3 linked regions of the Lepisosteus oculatus genome follow. The protein of the gene in region 3 interacts with the protein of the main gene of each other region in a pairwise test. Links are inferred from orthologs where the notes say so. Each region holds a gene or a part of one and is shown on either strand. Other genes may lie near its edges. The genes, in order: mapk8ip2, mapk8ip1a and lrp2a.

Region 1 (8,012 bases), on a different chromosome or scaffold from region 3:
TATATCCGATAGGGTTGTTTTCCCTATGACATGACATGAACACAAATACAGAATGACAGGGAAATAAAATTGGGAATGACTGCACCATTGTGCTTGGAAAGTCTCATTGATGTGGCTCTGCACTGACCAATATTTTGTGAAAACCTGCTGAAATCTGACCAATATTCTACTGAAACAGAAGTGTAAGATAAACTGAAAATACCACTTTATTTTTCATTTAGTTTCGAAAACGAATATGTGATACCCCTGCGTAAGAGGAAAGCATGTAACTTGAGACTGGGTTGTTGTTCAGTTTCACTGCAGTTGATCTTATAAAATAAAAGATGTGATGGCTCTATTTAACAGTGAGTGTTTCAGAAACATCAAAGAATCCCCACCACACTTCACCTACTTATATTCTCATATTAACGTTTCTGCAGGTCCTTCCTCCTGGCCGCTGTCAGGGTGTGTTACACTGCCCTAGGCTAGGACTGTTGCCCTTCATCTGCTCATCTATGGACAGCATGTTGCACTATTGTACTTTTTGGACACTCAATCTGTATATACAGTACCTATGTGCATTTTGCACGTATTTTACTGTTTTACAGTGACTATGAGCATATTTTGCACACACCTAACTCTATATATTTATTTTGTATTGCTATACTTATTTTAATTTTTCGTCTGTTATGATATCTGTCTTTGCTTGTCTTGGGGTGGGCTGCTGTAACACCTCAATTTCCCTTTGGGATCAAAAAAATCTATTCTCATTTTTATTTTTAGCAAAAAAAAAACCCTCCTAGAGTAATATCTGAACTTACAATATATATTTTCTTCTATGAAAACTGTAGAGCATAGAGAAGGTAATTTATTGTTTACTGTCTTTATTGCATTTATTTTTGTCCTTCCAATTTTATGTATCCTGTTTTTTTTCCTCCTCACCACCTAAAAATCATGCTCCAATTCTACAGACATTCCTTTCAGCCTTTCCTTAATGGGCTGTTTTTTTTGATGGCCCTAAGGGAAGTGTCAACGTTGTTTAAATCAAAATGGTGGTCCTTTTAAGAATATGGATCCTAGAGGTACACCTTCACTGAAGATTACAATAGAACTGATTTTCTGATGTTAAGGTGGGGGAAAAGTAATACTATACTGCTTCAGACTGTGAAGTGGCCAAAGCTTATTTTTCCTGCAATACCCCAAGGGCCAGGGAGATTTCACTCCCTGCCTGACACCGAGTGGCATGTGGATTGTGCAAACACACACACTGAAGCATGCCTCAAATAAAGAGAGACGGCTTTCAGTAGTAAATCCTTCAGAATCGTTGCCCTGCGTCAATATTTATGAATACAAATAGTTGTTTATAAATACATATTAAGAGGACATGCTTACCTAGTAGGGTGAATACAAATTATTTGTTGGAGCAATGTGCAAAAATATGATTATCCCGCAGCTTGCTGGACTTTTGTGTTCATCAAAATAGTTAGAATACAACCCCTAATTGGAATGGCTCAGTACAAATGTCTACAAAAGCTGCTTTCCTTACAAAAGCAAACACAAAATTACATTTTAATATAATTACTGTTCATACTAAACTATTTTATTAGGGTTATTTTCAGAACAGCATGAGCATTTTTTATGATATATACTGTAATTCACATTCATTCATACAACCCATTTCAACTTCAATACCCCACTTCTAGTCTTTTTAAATCACATGATAACAAGTAAGAGATAATATAGAAAGATAGGTGCTGAAATGGTTTATTAGTTTTATGTACAACTTTATACATTTCACTCTTTTGTGTTCTGCAGTATAGGTGCGCTGTCAACAAAGTTTTATTTCGTTCTAGTGAATATGCATTAAGTCAAACGTTACGGATAGGTAGCTTTAGCAATCATAAACATCACGGGTCAAAGTCCTCTTTTAAAATCGACGAAAAAAGAATTAAGCAGTCCAGACATAGTGATCGGTTTATGTCAGCAGTGGGGTCCTTCTTTCAATTATAATTGTAAATAAATACATCACTATGGAGGCTTCATGTATGCATCTAATAGGGCGTGGGCCTCTTGAGAAGCAACTCCTCGAACGTCTGATAAATACAATTAATAACCGTGTGTAAAGCAAAGAATTACAAAGAATCAACCGTTTGATATCCTTTCAGGTTATTTCTCTCCTTTTAAATATAATGTTAATACTGGTGTTATTTTACAGAAGCAATTGGTAAATAAAAAAACTTGCAACGCTACAATATATACACTGGAAATATAGTTATGAAAGAAAGCAATAATATCGAAACAATAATAAAAGCAAAAGTACAAATCTAATATTTTAATGTACGGCTTTCCCCCCATCCAACCCTCCCATGCGCCAGAATCAACAGACCTGTCGTAGCGGTACTTGAGAGCATCACCCAGTGACATTCCTACTGCTCCTCCCGCGACAGCCTTGGCCTCTGCAGCAAAGCGCCCGGGAGTTTTCGTTATGTCCTTGATTTATCGCAAATGAAAATGTTGCTGCTGAAGCAGTCTTACCTGCAACCTGGAGGAGAGAGGGAATGGAAGGTGGAGAGAGAAAACATCTCAGCCCTGTCCGCCATCTTCTTCCAGAAATGACTCAAAAGTGACTGCAGATAATCACAAAGCACAGCCCATTCACAGCCAGAGAGGGTGCAGGCAAACCGGATCAAGGGATGATGATCAGCGAAGAATTTTCGCCCCCCTCTGTGGCAACACTGCAGATGTCACTAACATGAACTAATTGTACCACGGATACATTTATCTACGATCAGAAAATCCAGATAATCCTCTTGGGGAAAAAGGAAAGGAAGAGCGTGCTGATTAGGAAAATGGTTGTTTTAAATAATCGTGGATTAAACACTGCCATACACCTGCATAGATCTAGCGCTAAGTACTCACAGAATCAGAGCTATGGAATGCAACAGCAAGCTCTTGTAAAAAAAATCAAGCGCAGCCTCTATCCCTTCCAAAGGACGCACACCAAGCTCCCCCAATACTATGTACAGTATATCAAACAGCAAGAGGTAAAAATCTGTACTGAACTAGCAAAGCAGGAAACAGCACTGCGGATGGTCGTACTTAAGACTACAGACCACATTTTAAACCAAGATGTATCATCCAGCATTATCATATTCTGTTATGATTATGCGCGTTTAATAGCATTTTTCTATATTTCGAAAAAACGTACAATAGGTTGCATTTTGCTGATGGCTTGTGAATATTATGACTGAGATTGATTTGTTTGTGGGTGGAGAAGATTTTGTATTACATGGACATCACGTACAGTAATACTGGAATGCGCTGACAAACACTTCACAATTATTCAGAGCATAAATGCATGTCTTTCTTCTTTAATTGGTCTAAAAACCACTGACTCAGCACCACAGATATATCCTGGAGTAACATTTTACTCCTGAACTGAGGATTCTGTCAAAGTTATACCAGATACAGTAACCATCGTGTACGACTCTGTTGATATTGTATGTCTACATTTATAGGAGTGGAAAGAAAATTAAACGATCGGTCAGACTCACCAATGAATCACAAATCAGCTCCTTTGGACCGCATTTAAACTGAAAACGGGAGTTGTTGGAGTCTGTAACAACTTCTATCCTTTCAAGAAGCAGCTGGTGAGTTAATTAAGCGCGCGTTGTATTACAGTATGTAGCCATGTACGTTTTTTTAGAAATCCCAGACATTTTAGAAAAAGCTCTACATCTTTAAGCACTCGTTATGATAGTATTTGAAGTAAAGTGTTAAAACAGTACTTGACATGTGGTCATGGCAGATTAGCACTTGGCAGCATTGAAGAATTGCCAAACACTTCAAAACCATGGAAATAACCGACTTCAAAACCATGGAGGCAATACTCGAGTTTATTTTAGTTTCTCAGTATTTTGCATTTGAATACAGAAGAGTATTTACAGTCTTAATGTGGGAACATGGTCCGCAATCTTGATTTAGTGAGGCCAGCACTATTTCTTGTAGGAATATAAACCATACTGACCTTAAATAAAAGCGTTAACAAGTGCACCCCGGTGACGAGTCTTGACTAACACTAACAAGTTTACAAAGATACATCCAAGCATCCGTTTTCAATAATCAACCACTCCTTTACAGAACACCAAAGTCCAAAGGAAGGGCAGACACATCAATGAATTAAAAAAGATGCATTTTAAATAAGCATACTAAAACTACTGCGCAGTGGCAAAAAACCTGTTGTAAAGAACAAGTAAAGGTTTATTCCACGCAGAAAAGAAACATATCGTTTCGGATGTGGAGGCTCCGAAAAGCTGATTCTTTTCTTACCTTTTCTGCATGGAATAAACCTTTACTTGTTCCTTTGCAGCCTACGCAGTACCTACTTTTAAAATCTGTTGTATGCGTCGAAGCATAGAGCTGTTCTATCGCCTTTGGTGCTGAAATTGTGTAGGAATTTGAGAGCCACCTATGGAGAAATAAGGTATTACAACACTTAACTATTATCTTAATTGTGTACTACCTCAATTCAAACTCCATCCATCCATTACCGAATGGCGGCTTATTTCTAGTGTCACGCTGACCCAGAGCATGTCAGGACCATAAGACGGATAGGTAGGTTATTACACCCTAGAAAAGAGAACCTGTCCATTACTGCGTACACACTGTCAGTTTAGAGACTCTTATTCACGTAATGTAACTTCTGCACAAGGCATAGTGCTGTCACTCCTATAAAAATAACACAACTAAAAGTATTCCATACAAAGATCTTTTACTCAAGTTCAATGTCTTCCTCATAATGTCTTCGATCTATAATCTTTAGAAATAAAAATATGCAATTATTCAAACATTATTTGAGACTTCATTGTTGTGGATCTTTGCATTAAAATACACATAGAATAATAAGAAATTAGCAGTTCTACTTTCCAATTAAAAGAGATGCTTGTAAGAATACAGAATGGGATAGTTTATATATACTATACAAACACAAATATCTTGCTTCTTTAAAAGCTATTTTAGAAGCAATAAAGCAGATAATATGTACTAGGAAACAAAGCAAAAAATAATAAGAGCATTAATTTATCCTTTAGCGTGACGCTAGATGAAATTTGATTAGGATAAAAAGACCCATTCCTGTGAACAAAATATAATCAAATCACTGTAAGTAACTTAAGTTTTTATTTTGAAGGTGGTTTTATAGACAATTTTCACCAAATAATAGATTTCAGATTTAAAATTTCAAATTTATCCTTTGTCAGTAGATTATAAATTCAGCAATCTCTTTTCAACAGCTTTCTTTTTATAGAACACCAAGATGCATTTGAAGGTGTGGTATGATATACACTAACACAGCACTTGTAATTATTTTCAGGACTTTCACATAACAAAATGAGGCTCAGATCACTCATTACTAAACACTTATTCAAAGTTTGAGCTGTATCTTTTGGATATCCTAAAGAAAAGTCACATAATTTTATTAACCTATTGCAGAACAGGTGTGTTTATCTCATGTTTTCATGAGGTTGAATCATTTATAACTCATCTCATACCAGGACTGGCAAGCCAATCAGAGATATTTCTTATAAGAAGTAAAGTGCACACTGAAATGTGCTCATTCCTTTCAAAGTTTTTTATTTCTTGAAAGTATTTCACTAATCCTATCATCAGGCTTAACAAACATCTAGAACATGAATATTACATCACAGAATGAAATTATACAATGCAAAAATAAATGTTACAGAGTACTAAAACTCTGATGTTACACTTGAAATATATAAACATCTCCAATACATTTCCCAACACCCAATTATAGGCACAACATCATGTTGATTAAAAATAATATGCACTGTACTGAAATAAGGAATATTTAACTGCAGGGTTAGGGTGAATAGAAGTCAAGCACATTTTTGGTGAAGGTAGTGAAGATATAAAATGCAGTGGAGCAATATTATTCTATGCTTTGATTTGATTAAAAAGGTAGTTTTGCCTTTCAGTTATCCTGTGTAAGGAGCTTCTTGTTGATGAAGGTGAAATGTCTTAACTGTGGGTGTGCAAGCAGCTTGAAACTTTGTAACCTTCTGGTTGTTTCAGTTAGCCACTGTGGTTTTAGTGGAAATCAGTTCTCTATGAATTACTAAACTTGGTACTGGCTTATGCTTGAGTCAGAAGTAAATAAAGCCTGATACTGTCAAACATATGGTTCAACAGATGTATTAATAACGACAGTAGTCAGCCACTATAACAAAAAAGTGCTAGATAGATGTATTTTCATCTATTTATTATGCTTGTAAAAGCATTACAAAATGAACTGCATTTACTTATGCCTTACTAATTGTCATATTTAACACTTCTTATCGGCTAATAAAAGATCCATGTATGCTCCAACAATGAGGTCCTCCTTTCTAACTCCCAGTTCATCCATAAGCTTGTGGGCAATAGCTTCTCCTTCTTCTTCAGTTTGTCCATCATTCAGCACCACCTGTGGTTGATACATAAATCCATAATACTGGAAATACTGTTTAAGAACTTAAATCTCTGACTTGATATACAAACTTTAAGTTGCTCTGTTTTTATATAACTCTGCAATGATCTCCTCTAAAATCTGAAATTTAAAACAGAAATGCAAGCAAACAAATTCTTTTTAATCAAGATATATGAATATGTAACTACGTGCTAATTTAATATTTCCTTCACTGTCATTTTATTTGAGAGTCCGATCTACATCTTATCAGAGATCAAAATCAGTATCACATGGTTTGTGAAGAAAAGTCCTACATTTTAGTGATTTTTAAAATGACTAAAATGAAGTGCAATATAATGAAAAAACTTTTTTTAAAACTATTTTATAGTGTGCATGAGTTCAGATTAAAGAACTCTAAGGACACACAACATGGCATAGTTCTCTTAAGGAAATTATAAATTAGGTTGATGGATGCAACTTCAATAATGCATCATCTGGATTCAATACATACCACAAATACTCTGCAAGAATATCATATATACAGAACATTAAACAGCCACAACACTCAACACAGGCCTCAACTTCTCCCTAGAATCAGTGTGAACACTAAAGCTGGGACTGTTAGTTAACTTACCTCCAGCTCCATGAAGTGCCCCAGGCCTTCAACTGTGTCTACATGGACTCTAGTTTGCCCCACCATATACAGATGCCGTTCTTTTTTCACGGTTCCCTTCACACCCAGAGCATCTGAAAGGACTTTCTAAAAAAAAAAACAACATTTATTTAATACTCACGCTCTCACAGTTTCTCCCTCCCTCCCACAAAGCACAACAGCATTCGATTTTTCTTTTTCTTGTGGGGTAAGTCTGATTATTATGACTCACTTTGCTGAATACAGAGAGTGCACTTAAGTTTTCCCATCAGTGAGACTTGGAGCCATGTGAAAACATGATTAATGTCAGCACAAGAAAGTTCTTAAAATGGCATCCAAGATAACAGGCTGTGATTTACCAGCTCTTGACATACTGTCTACTCCAGTGGTTCTCATCGCTGGTCTTGAGGGACCCCTGTGTCTTCTGGCTTTTAAGGACATGAGAACATAAAAAAGGTTACAAATGAGACAAAGCCATTTGGCCCGTCTAGACTGTTGGGTAATAAGTAGCTGGAGCTTATCCAGACCTTTCTTGAAGGTAAAGGCTTTAACCACATGGATGGATATCATTCCATACTCCCTTAATCCTTTGGGGAAGAGGCCTCTTGTTCTTGGGTTTTAAAAGCACTTCCTCGTAGTTTCCACTTGTGTCCTGTATTTTGTTTTCTGTTGTTCATTCTGAAGAACTTCATTGGGCTGGCAATGCCTTTAGAGGATTTTAAATATCAGGTCCTCTTGTAATTATTTTATATTCAAGGGTAAAAAACAACAACCGAATCTAAAAAGGTTAGGTTATTGTAGCCTGTCATTGTGGGACATTTCTTTTAAGTACTAGAATGGATCTGGTTGCTCTTCTCAGGACTTTCCAGAACACCAATATCTTTTTTTTATAATATGGTAACCAAAACTGTCCATGATATT
Region 2 (7,009 bases), on a different chromosome or scaffold from region 3:
ACTATGTGAGCTCTACTAAACATCTCCATTTGTATTTATATTGACTTATTTCTGCATCACTTTTATTATAATCACTAAAAATGACTGGCTGCCTGATAACAGAGAGATAGGTATGAGCATGCAGTATGTATGCACTGACCATTCAGATGACACTTGATTTGTTTCCCAAATTTCACAATCTTTCCCCTCTTCTACTTTCTCCTTCGTTATTATTAATTTATTTGGCTGATGGTTTGATCCAAATTGAACTGCATTTGCACATATTTATACAGCTGGGTATGGTGCAACTGGAGCAATTTGGTTGAAGTACTACCTTGCTCAAGAGTGCAACAGCAGAGCCTCAGCTGGGATTGGAACCCACAACCTTCCAGTTACAAGTCTAGAACCTAACCTCCTGTTGCCCCTGATGAAATTAAATCATTTTCAATAGCATGAAAACCAAAGGAAAGGTCCTGCTAAAAATGATTTGTTTATCTAATTCCAACATTACTGACATTTTAGATTACATTTCTGAAAAGAACTAAAAGATGCATGAAGAGCATACTGAATCAACTAAGCAGGTACTTTCAGTATGCAGGCAGTCAGATTTAATTTGCTGCAAATTACAGAATTCTATTATTATCATTATTCAGTCATTAATGCATTCATTTGTTGATGGAAGGCAATCTGTACACCGGAAAAGTCACATAAGGGCCATTGAGCCTTCAGCAGAAGATAGCATTAAAAATATCACACTAGTTTTTTAAACGACTGCAATAACATGTTGTGAAACTAACCCTTGCAAATGACTGTAAATAAAAAATAAGTCAACAGATGTCTTTCTGTTGGGAACCAGCCAACATGTGAAGTGCTGGGGATTTTTAAAGGTTATCCCAGAAATACAGGAAAGCTAAACGTAACAAAAAAAGGGATTTACAGATTATTATTTTATGGAATTTACTGAATAATGTAGGCAATGACAGTCCCTGTAGTGCATCCTGACTTAGTTCTGTGACAGATTACGTCTCTTGAAAGTTAAACACATACTGTACATAAATAAAGCAAGTGTGGACATTCCTTTACAGTGTGTTAATATTTTTGACAGGTTGAAAACTCAGTACATAAATACTGAGTTTTCAGTATTGTGCACAGTATAACAATACATTTGTCATGTACTTTAGTCACCGTAATAATCACAACAGTCTGTGCAATGATTGTTTACTTGTTAATGTCAGCATCTTATTCTTGGTATGCAATTGCAATGGGACAGCATCCCACACTGCAAGAAAATATTGGCTGGTGCACATTTTTATCCACTTCAATCAGATGCAAAGATACTTGTCAGGAGCAGTTTCTGACGTTCAGCACAAATACTTTCCTAATTTGTTGAGTTTTGAAACCCCACTAGATATGAATATGTCACTGTAACATATTTTTGTACAGCAAGATCTCATCATTTTTTCTCTGTATACTCTGTGGCAGCAGCAGCCGAACCACTGCACATACCCCACACACTGTGCATGACAGATCTCATCACTGCATTTTCTTGTTTCCCCTTTAAAAGAGATGTACACATCCTGCACCCTGATAAAAATGGTGAAACATGTTACCCTTAGAGACCATAAAGGCTTCTGATCTATAACGTTTATGCTGATGGAAAAGTGAAATGTTTGCTGTGATTTTTTAACCACAATGCTATGAAACAGAAACATGTTTCCAAGGTTGTTTTCTTTCTGCAGATAACAGATTCAATCAAAGCATCCTTAAGTTCTTGAAGCAAAATTATGCACAAGTGCAAAGGCTGTAGTAATGTACTGGATTTAGGAGGTTTGAATGCCATAAAATGGACAACAGATTCAAAGTTCTAATAGCGACCTCTCTCCGAGCTTAAGTATTTAGCAGAATAATGCATGTTCGGATTTACTCTTATTTGCTTAATATCTTGAATAAATACAATGCATATTTCTCGATTATAAGGTCAGGTAATTATAAAGTTACTACCAAACTAGTAACAAACCATTCACGCTCTGTATCGACTTTTCACACACAAGCACTATGACTGTTGCTGTCAACCAGTTGCACACATACCTGAAAAGCTGTGTGATGCCTCTATTTAGATAAATAGGTACAGTAGATACGTAATATATTTATAGTATGTTAAATCTATATTTTACATTTCTAGTGAAGAGTAAATAATGGTGATATTTAGATTTCACGAGTAGTCTTTTCGCCTAATATTCTCATCAATTCCAAATGATCAATGAGTTCATTCGTGTTCGAGATTTGATGCAAAATAATAAGCCCAAACCAAAAACAGTAACAAAATAACGTGCAGCGCTTTCCAACTTCTAACAGCAACAAACAGAGCTTTGATATCTGTTTTGTTTCCTCCGCGCAGTGTCGTCAAGATCACGGGAGTTTTCAATCTGTTCACCTGAATAAAAATGGACTACGCCCTTTAATTTACATGAGAAAGACTCGTGTTTGTAAACAGCAACTATTTGTGTGCGTCCGCCAGCCTTGCCCCGGTTCTCTGTATCGATTCAATTTACATAACGGGATGCACGGAAAAAAACAATGCACTTTCCGTCTCGGAAGCAACCACTACTACAGTATATTCATGAGCATCCCCTTTCTGCAGTAACAATCTATCTGCTATAGCCTGTCACTGTTTTCAATCCGTCACCAGCTTCGTTATCCGAAAAGCCCTTAGGCTCGATAGGGGTTTGCGGTACCCTTTGATTATCCTGAGCTCTATTACCTGAAATTAGGCGAGGAGGTGATGTGCAAACCCAAGAAAGGGGATCCAGTTGGAGACGGGTTTCTTTTTTCTCTATCCGCCATTCTCTGCCCTATTATTATATATCCATTCGTTCGCTCCTGGAGAAAGTAGTAGCCCAGTAGCAGGGATGCTGCGATGGAAATCCAGTTAAGGAGGAGAGGCGAGAGAAACAACACACACACACAGAGAGAGAGAGATTGGGAGGCGAGGCGCCAGCTTCTCATTCCAGGTCCCCAGAAACAGGCGGAGCGGACCTGTGTACGTTGATATTAACCGGAAAAACAAGGAGAATCGTCTTTGTCGTCATCGTCTCAGAAAACAAATCAACTTAAAATGCAAAATCCGTCGTTAATTCAATGGAGTGCACAGCAGGGCAAGTTAAACTTCTGAAAAATATTAAATAATACTTTAGTTACTTGAAATGGTGTCAGAATTGGATGTTGTCAACCAAAAAGTGGTTACAGTATATACATTTTTTCTTGTTGCAATGAATATTGCTATTGTAGCAGCCAAGTCAAAAAAAAAATACAATGCCGAGGTCATTCGGAACAGTTACCACGTGTTTAAGTGGTTCAATGTAAGTGCCTTTAAGGACTCTGAATACACTAGGTCTCTTTGAAGCCTTTTCTGTTCAAACCTAGTTAAGGTTTAGGGGTATCTGCATGCAACACCCTCAATTTAACATCATATGTCAGGTGTTTTCCTAGTCTGCAATTTTTATCTAAAGCTTTTTGAATTTTATTTGCGACTCCTATTTTGGTATAACCTGCAAACGTGACTAGTTTATTAAATACCCAGAATCAGAGCAGTGGTTCTAGTATAGATCCCTGTGGTACTCTATTAATTAGTGTGCCCAAATCTTAGCATTTGCCTCTTATCTGTATCCTGTTTTTTATTATTGTCAATCCAAATATGCACATTTTCCACATATGTATATCCTATATCCTGAATGTGATAAGAAATAATATTAAGAACGTTGTCCTTCCACCACCTGGCATTCTATTGACTTCTTCCTTGGTGATCACCTGAGTGAAATACTGTTCATAAAACACGTTACAAATGAGGGGAGTTCACTTGACCCATCCAGCCCACTTGGCAACAGCACTTAGTAATAGTGCATCAGCCATCTTTTAAGGCTCTTCTGCTGTTTCAATGCTAGAACAACTTTCTAGTTTTATTTTACTTAAGCCTCTACTGGAATATCCCAAATATCCTGTTTTACTTTTCATTAATTGGACCCTGTTGTTATTTTAATCATTTCATAAACTTCTTTCTTATCCTTTATCCTATACAGAGTTTGTAGTGTATTACCTATTAATGGTTTCTATCTCTTAATATTCATGCTGTCTCACTCCACTAATAAGTGAGCTCAAGTCAACTGGGTGCAGTTACTGCAGATTAATTTGATATTTCATTTCAAGTTACCCACATTGATTGGCCTATTTACCCCTGCACTGTGCTTTGTAACCAGGGAAACAGCCCATTCATATCTCCGAGCTTGTCCATAACGCCCCTCCTGGTGTGACTGGTGAGTTGTGATCCCTGAATCTATTCATAACATGATTGCAGCAGGCCTGAATGAATGCACCAATGCACTAATACACCCTTTATGTTGTATTTCATGGTTTACAAATCAATTATCATGTGATACTGTATGAGTAATGACTGTTCAATAAATTGAATTATATATCAGAAAGATCATTTTCTTTAAAGAACAAGGTACATTAAACAAATGCTGTGGTATACTGTACAATAGTACCTGCTGGGCTTTAGAAACACACAACAGCCTGAAACACAAGAAAGATACGTCAGTCTGGTCCGACAAAAGTCATTCCGCTGACATGCCAGATATCAGCAGATATAGCATGTGTTTTAATAACCTTTCCTTTTAAGCGAAAAAGGAAAAGAGTGAATGCAAACCAGCTCAGCATGTAAAATGTATTTTCATTAAAACAAGCATTTTCACTAAGCAATAGCTTAGGTGAAAGGTACATTTGAAAAAAAAAGTATTTGTTCTCCTACAGGTATTAAGCAAATTCAAGACAAGATTTGTTCCGCCAACCTACAAAATTCTTTAAAAAAGTCATCATCATCCAGGTGGTCCAACAACAACCAGGTGCAGAAAAAGAATGACAACATTTCTTTGCACAGCAAAACGGAGGCCATCATTTTAATAATTTGTTTGATGTGAAATGTACTGAACATAAGTCATTCTAAACTTATAAATTGCGGGAAATAACCTGTATCTCAGAAGAGTTTCACATGAGATGAATGTACAGATGCTATAAAAGCTGCTGATCTGATGTTTTCTCAGCACTGAATACAGTATATACCTATGGAATGCCTTATTTTTAGAATCTGTTTTCTCCACTGACAGAAGTGTGGTGGCATGGCCGTTACAGTAGGACTGCTGCATGACAGCACTCTCAACTAGAGAAGCACTTGGTTCCAATGTTCAGTTCTTGCCTGAGGCTCTTTCGATGTGGAGTTTTGTTTTAGAATCCAATGAAGAGAAAGTGGGTCCCATCCTATATGTATTGTACATTGGGATCACTGGCATAATAACTGCTACAGTATATACAGCAACAGCAAGGAATTATTTTATGGATTCCTTCTAACAGTTTAAGCCATGTCCTTCCCAAATACTACATTTTTGCTGAGGCACTTTAGATAATTACAGCCAATTGAATTTTAGATGATGAATAATCCAGGTAGCTTTCAATTTGCAGGATAACTGTAGTCAACATGAAAGGACGGACATTTTTGCATAAATTTAAGCAGCGTTAATGAGATATAGAGGAATTAGTAACCTAATTTCAGGATAAATTCTAATGGAATTTTTAAAATATTAATTTAAAATGCCCAGATGAATTTGTCCTTATTTCTCCCGCAGACCTGCAAGTTGGGAAACTCATGCAATCTGTTTTAATGTCAGCCTTTCCCTAAAAAACATATTTTTGGAAAATAACAGAAGAAAAGAGCTGTATGGTGTATGCTGCAAAGTGCCCAGTTTTATATTTACTCTGCTTATCACATAAAATTAGAGACAGCATTTTTTCTATTGAATGCTATTTATGATAACAATCTAAACAATCAAGTCAGGCTAAAAATCGGTTATAAAGGGTATCAATATTTTTTGATACTTCATTGCAAAGCTGATTTTCACAGATCTCACTGCTGTTTTCAGTTGCTGACAGAAGACAATTGTAGAATATTGCTGTATTTATTCATGCTTCTAAGTGAGAAGATGATACTAATGCATAGTAACAGATGTCAATGGACTTATCCTGTTCTTGTCCAGACTGTTTACACTGTTGCTCATCAAAGGCATGGCAAGGTACAGAACGATATTGGACTGATAGTGATTCAATTCAAGGCAGAACAATTTATAAAGAATAGAGTCACAAGGGAGTCATATACCTAAAGGTTTTAGGTCTGTTCAAGTCCAGTGGTAGCAGTGGATACCCCCATGTTGTTGTTTTTTACAAAACTTCTAATACACCATAAGAGCACATCAATAACATCTAGGATGCAATTTAATCTTCCCCATGATTTTCACAGATACCACTCCTCTCAGTCCCTTTGTGGATTATTAATTGGCTTGACTTTCGGCACCTTGCAGAAGGAAGGGTAATTTCCCCGAGCCCTCTTCTAAATGTTTTAGAATCGGTGCATAATGCAGTAAAGTGCTCTCTTTTCAAGTGAGCGGAGCAGCTCCTGAGGCCATGTACGGAACAGCGGCTCACCGGTGCTTACACACAGATCCTCCCATAAACGTTTCAGCTGCTTTAGTCCACCAGAGCAACATTCTGCGTGAACAGCAGATCCCGGAGCAATTAATTGGAGCCATGGACACCTTATTAAAATACACAGTACAAGAGAAAATAACACCTGAAGAAGGCTCTACAGCTGAAACGATTCTTTTCTTCTCTTTTCAACATGGAATAAGCCTGCACTTGTTCCTTTGCAGCCTATGCCTGCTGATGCAGCTCCCTACTTGAGCTACAAGAGAAAATAAGTTGACTTTCCAATAACTGAAACAAAAACCTGAGTTTTGTAAACTGTCCAAGGGAATTATATGGATAAAGAAAATTGCTGGGGGTAATTGGTTCTATAACGAATCAATAAGAAGCAGAGCAAAAACAAACCCTTCTGTAATACGCTACAATACCACTCCTACTGAAATAGTTCCATGTACTGTAGCTGCAGACAAAATCTAAAGTGCTAGGTGTCATTTCTTTTTCTCAC
Region 3 (7,433 bases):
GATAACTGCACATTGAAAAGTTTTTTAAAGAGAAGCACAATGTAGCACTGGCTTGTCAAAGTTCAGTCAATATGTTTTTCTTATGATCTAATTCTTCTTATGATCTATTGACCCTGTCAAGTCCAGAGCTGTGATTCTATGGTACCTTCTGTAAATTAGTGCTGTTCTCAAGGTAAATGCCTAAATGAAGTGTCTGATCATTGGCTCTAAGACAAGGATCTATGGATTTTAATTATTTACTATATGCTAATGTATATTGTAAACTAAAGTTTTAAAAAGAAGGCGATTTACAAAACAAACAATGCCTCTTTGTCAGATATCAATCCCATCTCAGGCATTACTCATCAGCGTGAGTCAATTCTATAGCTAACTAAATGCTATAACCTGCCAGTGTTATATCAAGATGATGTTACAAGTTGCACTTTTAGATTCTGCTCATTATTTCCTTTTTTGCAAGCTGTGCTATGAAAGCCTTAAGGTTTGAAGCATTCCAAAGTAAAATGTAAAAATGACTCTTTTCAAGGATTGTAAAAATAATGTATTGCATGTTGATCAAATATCCTTGAAATCTAGACTTTAAAACTGATGTTCGTAACCCCAGCAGACACGAGTATTAGTGAATGACAGAATCCCTGTCCCCCTCCTCGTGGCTGTTTTGGTCATTTCCTCTGAAACGCATGCTGAATAAATCTGGATTAAATCAGCCATTAGTTGCTCACTTTTTTGAGGAGATCTAAATGAAAAACACACATTAGCATGATGGGACAAGCAATAGGTTTATTCCAGGCTGAAAAGAGAAGAAAGAAAACACAACCTTTTCGCCTGTGGAACCTATTACTTGTTCCTTTGCAGCCTACGCATGCTGACGCAGCCACCCACCTGAACAACATTAGCATGATGTTAGGAGAGCCAGACACGGGTAGCAAACCACATTCGTATTTTGGGAAACATTTTCTAAAACAGGTTATTTACCATAGTGCAGCTGGACTTTGTCATTTAATAATATGAAGACTAACTTCATTAGCACATGTTTTCTTAACTGGAACCACTGTAGTGTTAAACTTGAAAAGGTAACTTTTTAAGAACAAGAAATTCCTATTTTTGTAGATGATTAACATTAAAAAACTATTAACATTCTCGCTGCTTCACCAAAAATGCCTTAATGGAAATTATTTACAAGCAGAAAAATACAAGTAATGACAACACTTAGTTAAATATTATAGTAATTACAATCACTTCAGTGTTTCCAGCGTCGATAACTGCTACATCAGCATCCTTAAAGACCTGACAAAGGTGCTTTTAAAATGTTTCACAGTTTACTTTGGAAATAATCACCCCACAAAGACATTACTGGATCTTAAAGTTTTAAAAGGATTTTTGAAAAAATAGAAAGTGCATAGACAGATCTCTTTCTGATCACACGAAGCATATACTTAGTAGATGTTATTTTGGAAATGGTTAAATATCTCTTTAAAAAATTGTCTTAACACATCAAAGCAATTACAAATTATACTCAGTACAAAGTTACAGTGCATATTTTTTTACAATACACTTGCAAAATATATACGATCATTTTAGTAATGTTTTGTTGAGATTAACCAAAATAAATTACCTACAGATCTATTATATACAGAGACTATTACTCTGTGACAAAACATTCCAATTTACATACATTACAAACACCGTGAGATTCGATGCGAAACGAACTTTTAGATCAATTCCACTGACACCCTAGTCTCGAAGTGCAAATTTTGAATCTGAATTTTATATATCTTGTTTTCGTGTCTTGTTTCTGAAACATAAATGGTTGCTTCTAGCAGCAGCTGCAGTATAATTAGTGGCTTGATTCACACTAAGGAGCTTATATACTAAGGGTTGAGCAAAAAGAAAGCAGATTATAATTTGAGTAGGTCTGCACAAGTCTGCACGATCAAATCCAAGAACAGACTGCAGTAAATCAATCTATTTTATCCCCCTGCACAACAATGGGTCTTAAACTGTCACTGTACAAAAAGGCTGCTGTAAAGTTACGACATCTTTAAAATACATGTTACAAAACTAAGAGCGGAGGAGTTCCTCCAAGTCAGATTTGTACCAGTGGCCTGCAGTCCGCAGATTGCCTGCTGGTCACATGCTCTCCTCTGTTACCTAGCAACGGCAAAGCTCAGGCAAAAGTTCTCCAAGAGAACTTCAAATCTGTCTGAGGGAGGCTTTGTGCTCTAGATTAAACTAACGTTTCTGAATTTTATTGAATACGAAAACGCTGACTTAAAAGGAGCATGCCAAAGAAAACTAATGATCTTGTCTTAGTTTTAATCATTAAAGAATATGTACAAATGTTCTAGCGATTTAACATATTCACATGACTGGCACAGCTATTTTGTCACTGAATCCCAAAAATACAAGGATTGGAAAAAACACCGCGAAACACTAATAGAAATTAAAACAAGCGAGAAATCTCTAATGTCAGAACAAGGGTGGAACTAAATAACATTGCTGTTTAAAACACATTTTATATTTCATTAATCCAAACATTGAGATTCTATACTCATATTGTTTAAGAACAGGAATTGTAAGTATGCGTGTGTTGGATATGTTTCTAGAACGACCTTTCTTAAAATAACCTGCTTTCTAATTTATAATAAGAGAAATATTGAATTTCACATGCAATATCCCACATATTTACCACCCTTGCTACTGAAGATACAAAAACTAAACTGGCTTGTTTCTGACCGTTAGTGCCCCATCCCTCAAGTGGAGTGGGATGTAGCACCTAAAACAAATGTGAATTTAGCTTACCTTGAGAATGGCACTGAAGCGCGAATAAAGTTAACAGAAAGAAATTCACGGGGAGTGCTTTCCACATCCTGATGTGCCGTCCCAGCTGGTCAGTCCAGCTCCAGTCCAGGCCGGGTGGTTGGAGGTGCATTAGGGGACTGGGATGCTACCGCTGCTAGCCTCTCTCTTTCTTGTCCCGCTAGCTGATGAAAAAGGGCGTGTTTGAGAGCCGAGACATTGCGCTTTGAATACTCCTTTCGCTCCGGCCCACTGGATAAAAAAAACCCTTTCTACCAGGGACCCAGGAACCGGCATAATTCAATCATTCACACTAATAAGCTGTCGTCGTCCGCACCCCTACAACACAGTGTACTTGCTGCGAGTTCAATACGTTGGCAATACATTTTCTATGGAAAACTTAGAGTCCATCAACTGTTTTTCTGTGACTCAGTGAAAGCAGATAGCTGATTTAAAATTGGCACACAAAAAAAGAGTTGTTAACCTGTCATGATGCGCATTGGCGCAAAAGCATATTGAGACACACGGTCACCTCTTTGCCAGTTTGAAGCAACTTTTTACCCATTTCTTCACGGCTCTCAAGCGCGCCATTTTTAACTTGTTTAGAGGCGATTTTACACCCCATATAACTGGCACACACAGCTCACAAATTTTAAGCCTTATTTCTGAATTTCAGTATGGAATTTACTTATTTCACAATGAAGATGAAATTGAAATATATTGGATGCACTGACCTGGTGAATAGATTATTTGAAAATACCACCATCATGTTGAAAACTTCTTTGAAATCAACAGTTACTGATTTTAATCAATTTTATTCAAGGAAAGTACAGTCACATATCTGCATGATGATGTATAATCTCGTATTTTAACACAAATTACGTGAGGCCACGTATATTCAGGCGACTACGTGTCAGGTGTGATAAATCAGATCTCTGTTTATCCTATTAAACCGACGCAAAGACAACGGTTATTTGGGAAGGCTAGCTCTAATCGCCAACGCAGAGATAACCATCAATACTATATTGTAAATGGCTTGAAGGCGGAGGAGCGCTTCACAGTGCTTGTATTCAGTATCAGGGCTACCTTAGTGTGTTGGTACGGGACAGCACCGGGGTCAAGCCCCAGTAACACGAGGGTAAGATAAGCATATTCAATGAGCTTTTCGACACATCCAGTGGCACAGCAGAAAAAAAAAGAATGAAAGAAAAAAAAACATTCTCCCGAGAGACTACATTTCACTGCAAGTATTTCTTACTGTGAATGAGAAAAAGAATTTCCCCCCAAATGACTGGCGTCTCTTTATCCACCTCTTTTGCCAGAGAGCTTGTTGAATTCCTTTCGTGGTTTCACAGCAAGTGTCGGGACGACCAAACGTAACCAGCAGCGTTATTTAATGGACTCGACTTCGGATAAAGTAGCCTATAGTTTAATCCAAAGGGTAACAACTGGCGGAGCAAATGTTTAGTTTGACAAAATAAAGTATATTTGTTGGGGGGGGGGGGGGGGTTTGTTCATTACAAGCTTCATGTGTTCGTAGGATTTAGTGTTAATATCCTGTTTAATGGCAATGAACACCATACGTGTATATCTCTATAATGTGTTTTAATTCGATAATACTTCGAAATCACAATTATTTTCCACAAACGAGCATGACATGTTTGAAAGGTCTATTCAAAGCTAAGGCCAATTGTTGATTCCCAAATTGCTAAAACGTTAATTTCCTGGGAAACAAGCCCTTAACTGTGAAATCTCCCTTAATTAGATCTGCACCAAACATTATCCTTCATATACTTAAGTTAGCCAGCGTATAAGGCTACTTATAAGGTTTAGATAAATTGCTTTCCTATTTTACATGCTTGTAACAACTATCAATATCCTCCAAACCCTGCTAAAGTTAGTTTCTGTCACTTTTACAAAGCTAAATCAATAACGTGTCATATAATGTAGTCTTTTGAAATATATTTTTCTCCAAGAAAGATGGAATATATTAGAATGTCTATTTATGAATCCACTTCTCATTTGCAAAAGACATCATGAAAAAATATGTGTTATAAAATTATGGCCATACTGCTCTAGCGACCCTGGAAGGTGATTCAATTCGAAATGTGCTCATCTAATATTTTTAAGAAAAATGATTACTATCAGTATATTTGCCAAATACATTTTGAGATTACAACAAACAACCAATGTTTATTTCTAGATGTGCAAATATCGCAACCGCATCTGTTTTTTGTCTTCGAGAGTAGAAACAACATTGAGCTCTCAAAAAGAGAAACTGAGACTGTCCCGTTAGTTTCACTCAACCACCCAGTTTTATGCATACGCATCTATTGAAAAGGCGGTTTTAAAACTAAAACTTTAGACATCTGGGAATTGTTGTTATTAATAATTAATAATTATGAATTAATATTTTCTCAATATACTTCGCAGCGAATAATGCGAGTGCTTTTTAATGCTGTATTTTAATCTACCATATGCCACATATGGTAGATATCTACCATATCTACCACAAGTTGCATTGCAACTACAGCTGTAAAACAACACAGAACTTTCATGTAATTTAGCATTGTCACCAGAAGAGAAACAAGACCTTAAAGATTTCACTATTCCTATTTTACTATTCCAATACATGAAAACTTATAATGGTTATCATCCCGTTTCCAGAAAAGAAAACTACCACGATTCGGTTTAGAAAAAAAATCTCGATTGAGCTTATATGTAAATGGAATGGGACATAGAAAAGACATTTTAAAAATACTAATACTCATTGAATAACTATTGGTAATGCAACAACATTGTGGAGAAGGTTTTTGTGTTATACATGGGGGTGTAGGGAACATGACAAAGGTCTTTATTAAACCTGTGCAGACAGAGCCTTTTTAAACTTATTAGATAAGGTCATTGGGTTTCAAAAGAGAAGCTGATCTCCATGCCCCTTTGAATTTTCAGTGAAATATGTTGGGGCTGATAAGTTATTGACTTTCTGTTAATTCCCTTTTTAGCATTTTTAATCATGTGAAATCTATACATAAAGTGTGCATGTACGGTATGAGTTGGTATTAACAAGCGTGTTCGTATAAAATGACACTGCCCAATCTACACTTACGTATAAGATTCTAAAGCAGCGTGTTAGTGATGCTCTGCCTCTTTTCTTTTTGCCTTATGTAAACATGACCATACACTTCTTTTTCCCTTTGAGCAAATGACAATGATGAAAAGCTACAGCTAAAAACTCAGACTCTTTTGAAAAGCATGAAAAGAAGAAGGTGTAACAAGATAATAAGGGGACTCTTACATTTTTCAGGGTGGCTAACTTTAACCCTTTGTATTGCACTATTCTTTAAATACATTGTGAGGGTTCTCTAGGTTCCGACAGCATTTTGCTTTCCTGAGCTGTGGTTTTTGGCACCAGTGCAGGGTATGGTATCTAACTTCAGATTCAGCTACACCACACACATTGAGGTGTTGCCCCATAGTACAAAGTAATGTATGACTTAATGAGTTAAACATAAATGACATTTTATTAACCAGGATTTTCTTCCCACTCTTTTAAACCAGGTGTTCTAAGGTCACTTACAACTGGCAGAATTTATGGTGCTTGATCTGCTTAATCATCAGTTTCAAAGCTGAGAAATGGGTTAAAAATTCTTCAACAGCTTCTTGTTTTGCCATCTACTGTAGGTAAAAACAAAACACCTTTGTTTAAAAACTTTGCACCTTTCTGTTGCTGTGATAAGGTATTTTCTAGAAATGTGTACAATAAGTGGGTGTTTTGCACATTAAACACAGATAATAAATGTTAAGTCAATACTTTAGAATAAATGTCATCAGTCATAAAACTTCGTTAATTTTAACATTGCTGTTTACCTTAACCAGTTAGTTGTTTTAATAAATTATTTCTTCATTAAATACTGTATGTATATCATTTCAGTCCTAAAATTGTTTTTTTTTTCCATTCTGAAGTCATTGCTTGTAAGATTTTCTCCAAATGCAAGTGAGTTAAAAACTTTAGGAAAAAAATAATTATTGTTTACTTTTTAATTGGTTCTTTTTACTCAGATTCACCGATTCAATACATGCGTGAAAATTGCATCTGCACACGATATCGTGCGGATTTTCTAAAATACGTTTTAGACCGAACTCCTGCGGGTTTCCTGCAACTCCAAATACCCTATAATACTCCTTCAGGAATCCATCAGAGCCCTGCAGAGCTCCTTTCACTAGAAAAATAAAGAATTCCTGAGGAGTCTTGAAGGATAAGAATCCGTTAGTATTTTGCCCACCTCCTATATCCCCAAGCTACCCCCCACAAAAAAAAAAATCAGGAACCGTGTGGGAATTGGTTCAACTATTACGATCAGTATACATTTTGTAAACCGTTAAAAGGGGATAAAAAAATATCCAAATATTGCAGCCAGCTTATTCCAAACCGAAGAATGTCCCCATCGCCTGCTATTGATTTCACCCTCAAGTAATAACAAAAATTGACCACATGTAAAACATGGATCATACAATACGCCAAATTTGTCATTACTGTAGTGTACGGTCACATCACGTTACACCAGTTCCTGATTAGAAATAACAACATATTAGCAATCCGTAAGAAAACTGCGCTTTCCACAAAGAACTGCAGA

The links.
Region 1: the proteins of lrp2a (region 3) and mapk8ip2 interact in a two-hybrid assay, tested with the Homo sapiens proteins (2 studies listed by BioGRID). The link is inferred for Lepisosteus oculatus from reciprocal best matches to the Homo sapiens genes LRP2 and MAPK8IP2.
Region 2: the proteins of lrp2a (region 3) and mapk8ip1a interact in a two-hybrid assay, tested with the Homo sapiens proteins (2 studies listed by BioGRID). The link is inferred for Lepisosteus oculatus from reciprocal best matches to the Homo sapiens genes LRP2 and MAPK8IP1.

What each region holds. Positions count from the first base shown.
Region 1 is NC_090702.1:14,099,436-14,107,447, forward strand, and holds the start of mapk8ip2 (C-Jun-amino-terminal kinase-interacting protein 2), read right to left. Parts: upstream 3,048-8,012; 5' UTR 2,580-3,047; coding exon 2,515-2,579; intron 2,489-2,514; exon of another isoform or gene 2,404-2,488; coding exon of another isoform or gene 2,366-2,403; intron 1-2,365. UniProt on the Homo sapiens protein: The JNK-interacting protein (JIP) group of scaffold proteins selectively mediates JNK signaling by aggregating specific components of the MAPK cascade to form a functional JNK signaling module.
Region 2 is NC_090716.1:6,360,741-6,367,749, reverse strand, and holds the start of mapk8ip1a (C-Jun-amino-terminal kinase-interacting protein 1a), read right to left. Parts: upstream 3,025-7,009; 5' UTR 2,986-3,024; coding exon 2,741-2,985; intron 1-2,740. UniProt on the Homo sapiens protein: The JNK-interacting protein (JIP) group of scaffold proteins selectively mediates JNK signaling by aggregating specific components of the MAPK cascade to form a functional JNK signaling module. Required for JNK activation in response to excitotoxic stress.
Region 3 is NC_090707.1:15,774,553-15,781,985, forward strand, and holds the start of lrp2a (low-density lipoprotein receptor-related protein 2a), read right to left. Parts: upstream 3,005-7,433; 5' UTR 2,930-3,004; coding exon 2,800-2,929; intron 1-2,799. UniProt on the Homo sapiens protein: Multiligand endocytic receptor. Acts together with CUBN to mediate endocytosis of high-density lipoproteins. Mediates receptor-mediated uptake of polybasic drugs such as aprotinin, aminoglycosides and polymyxin B.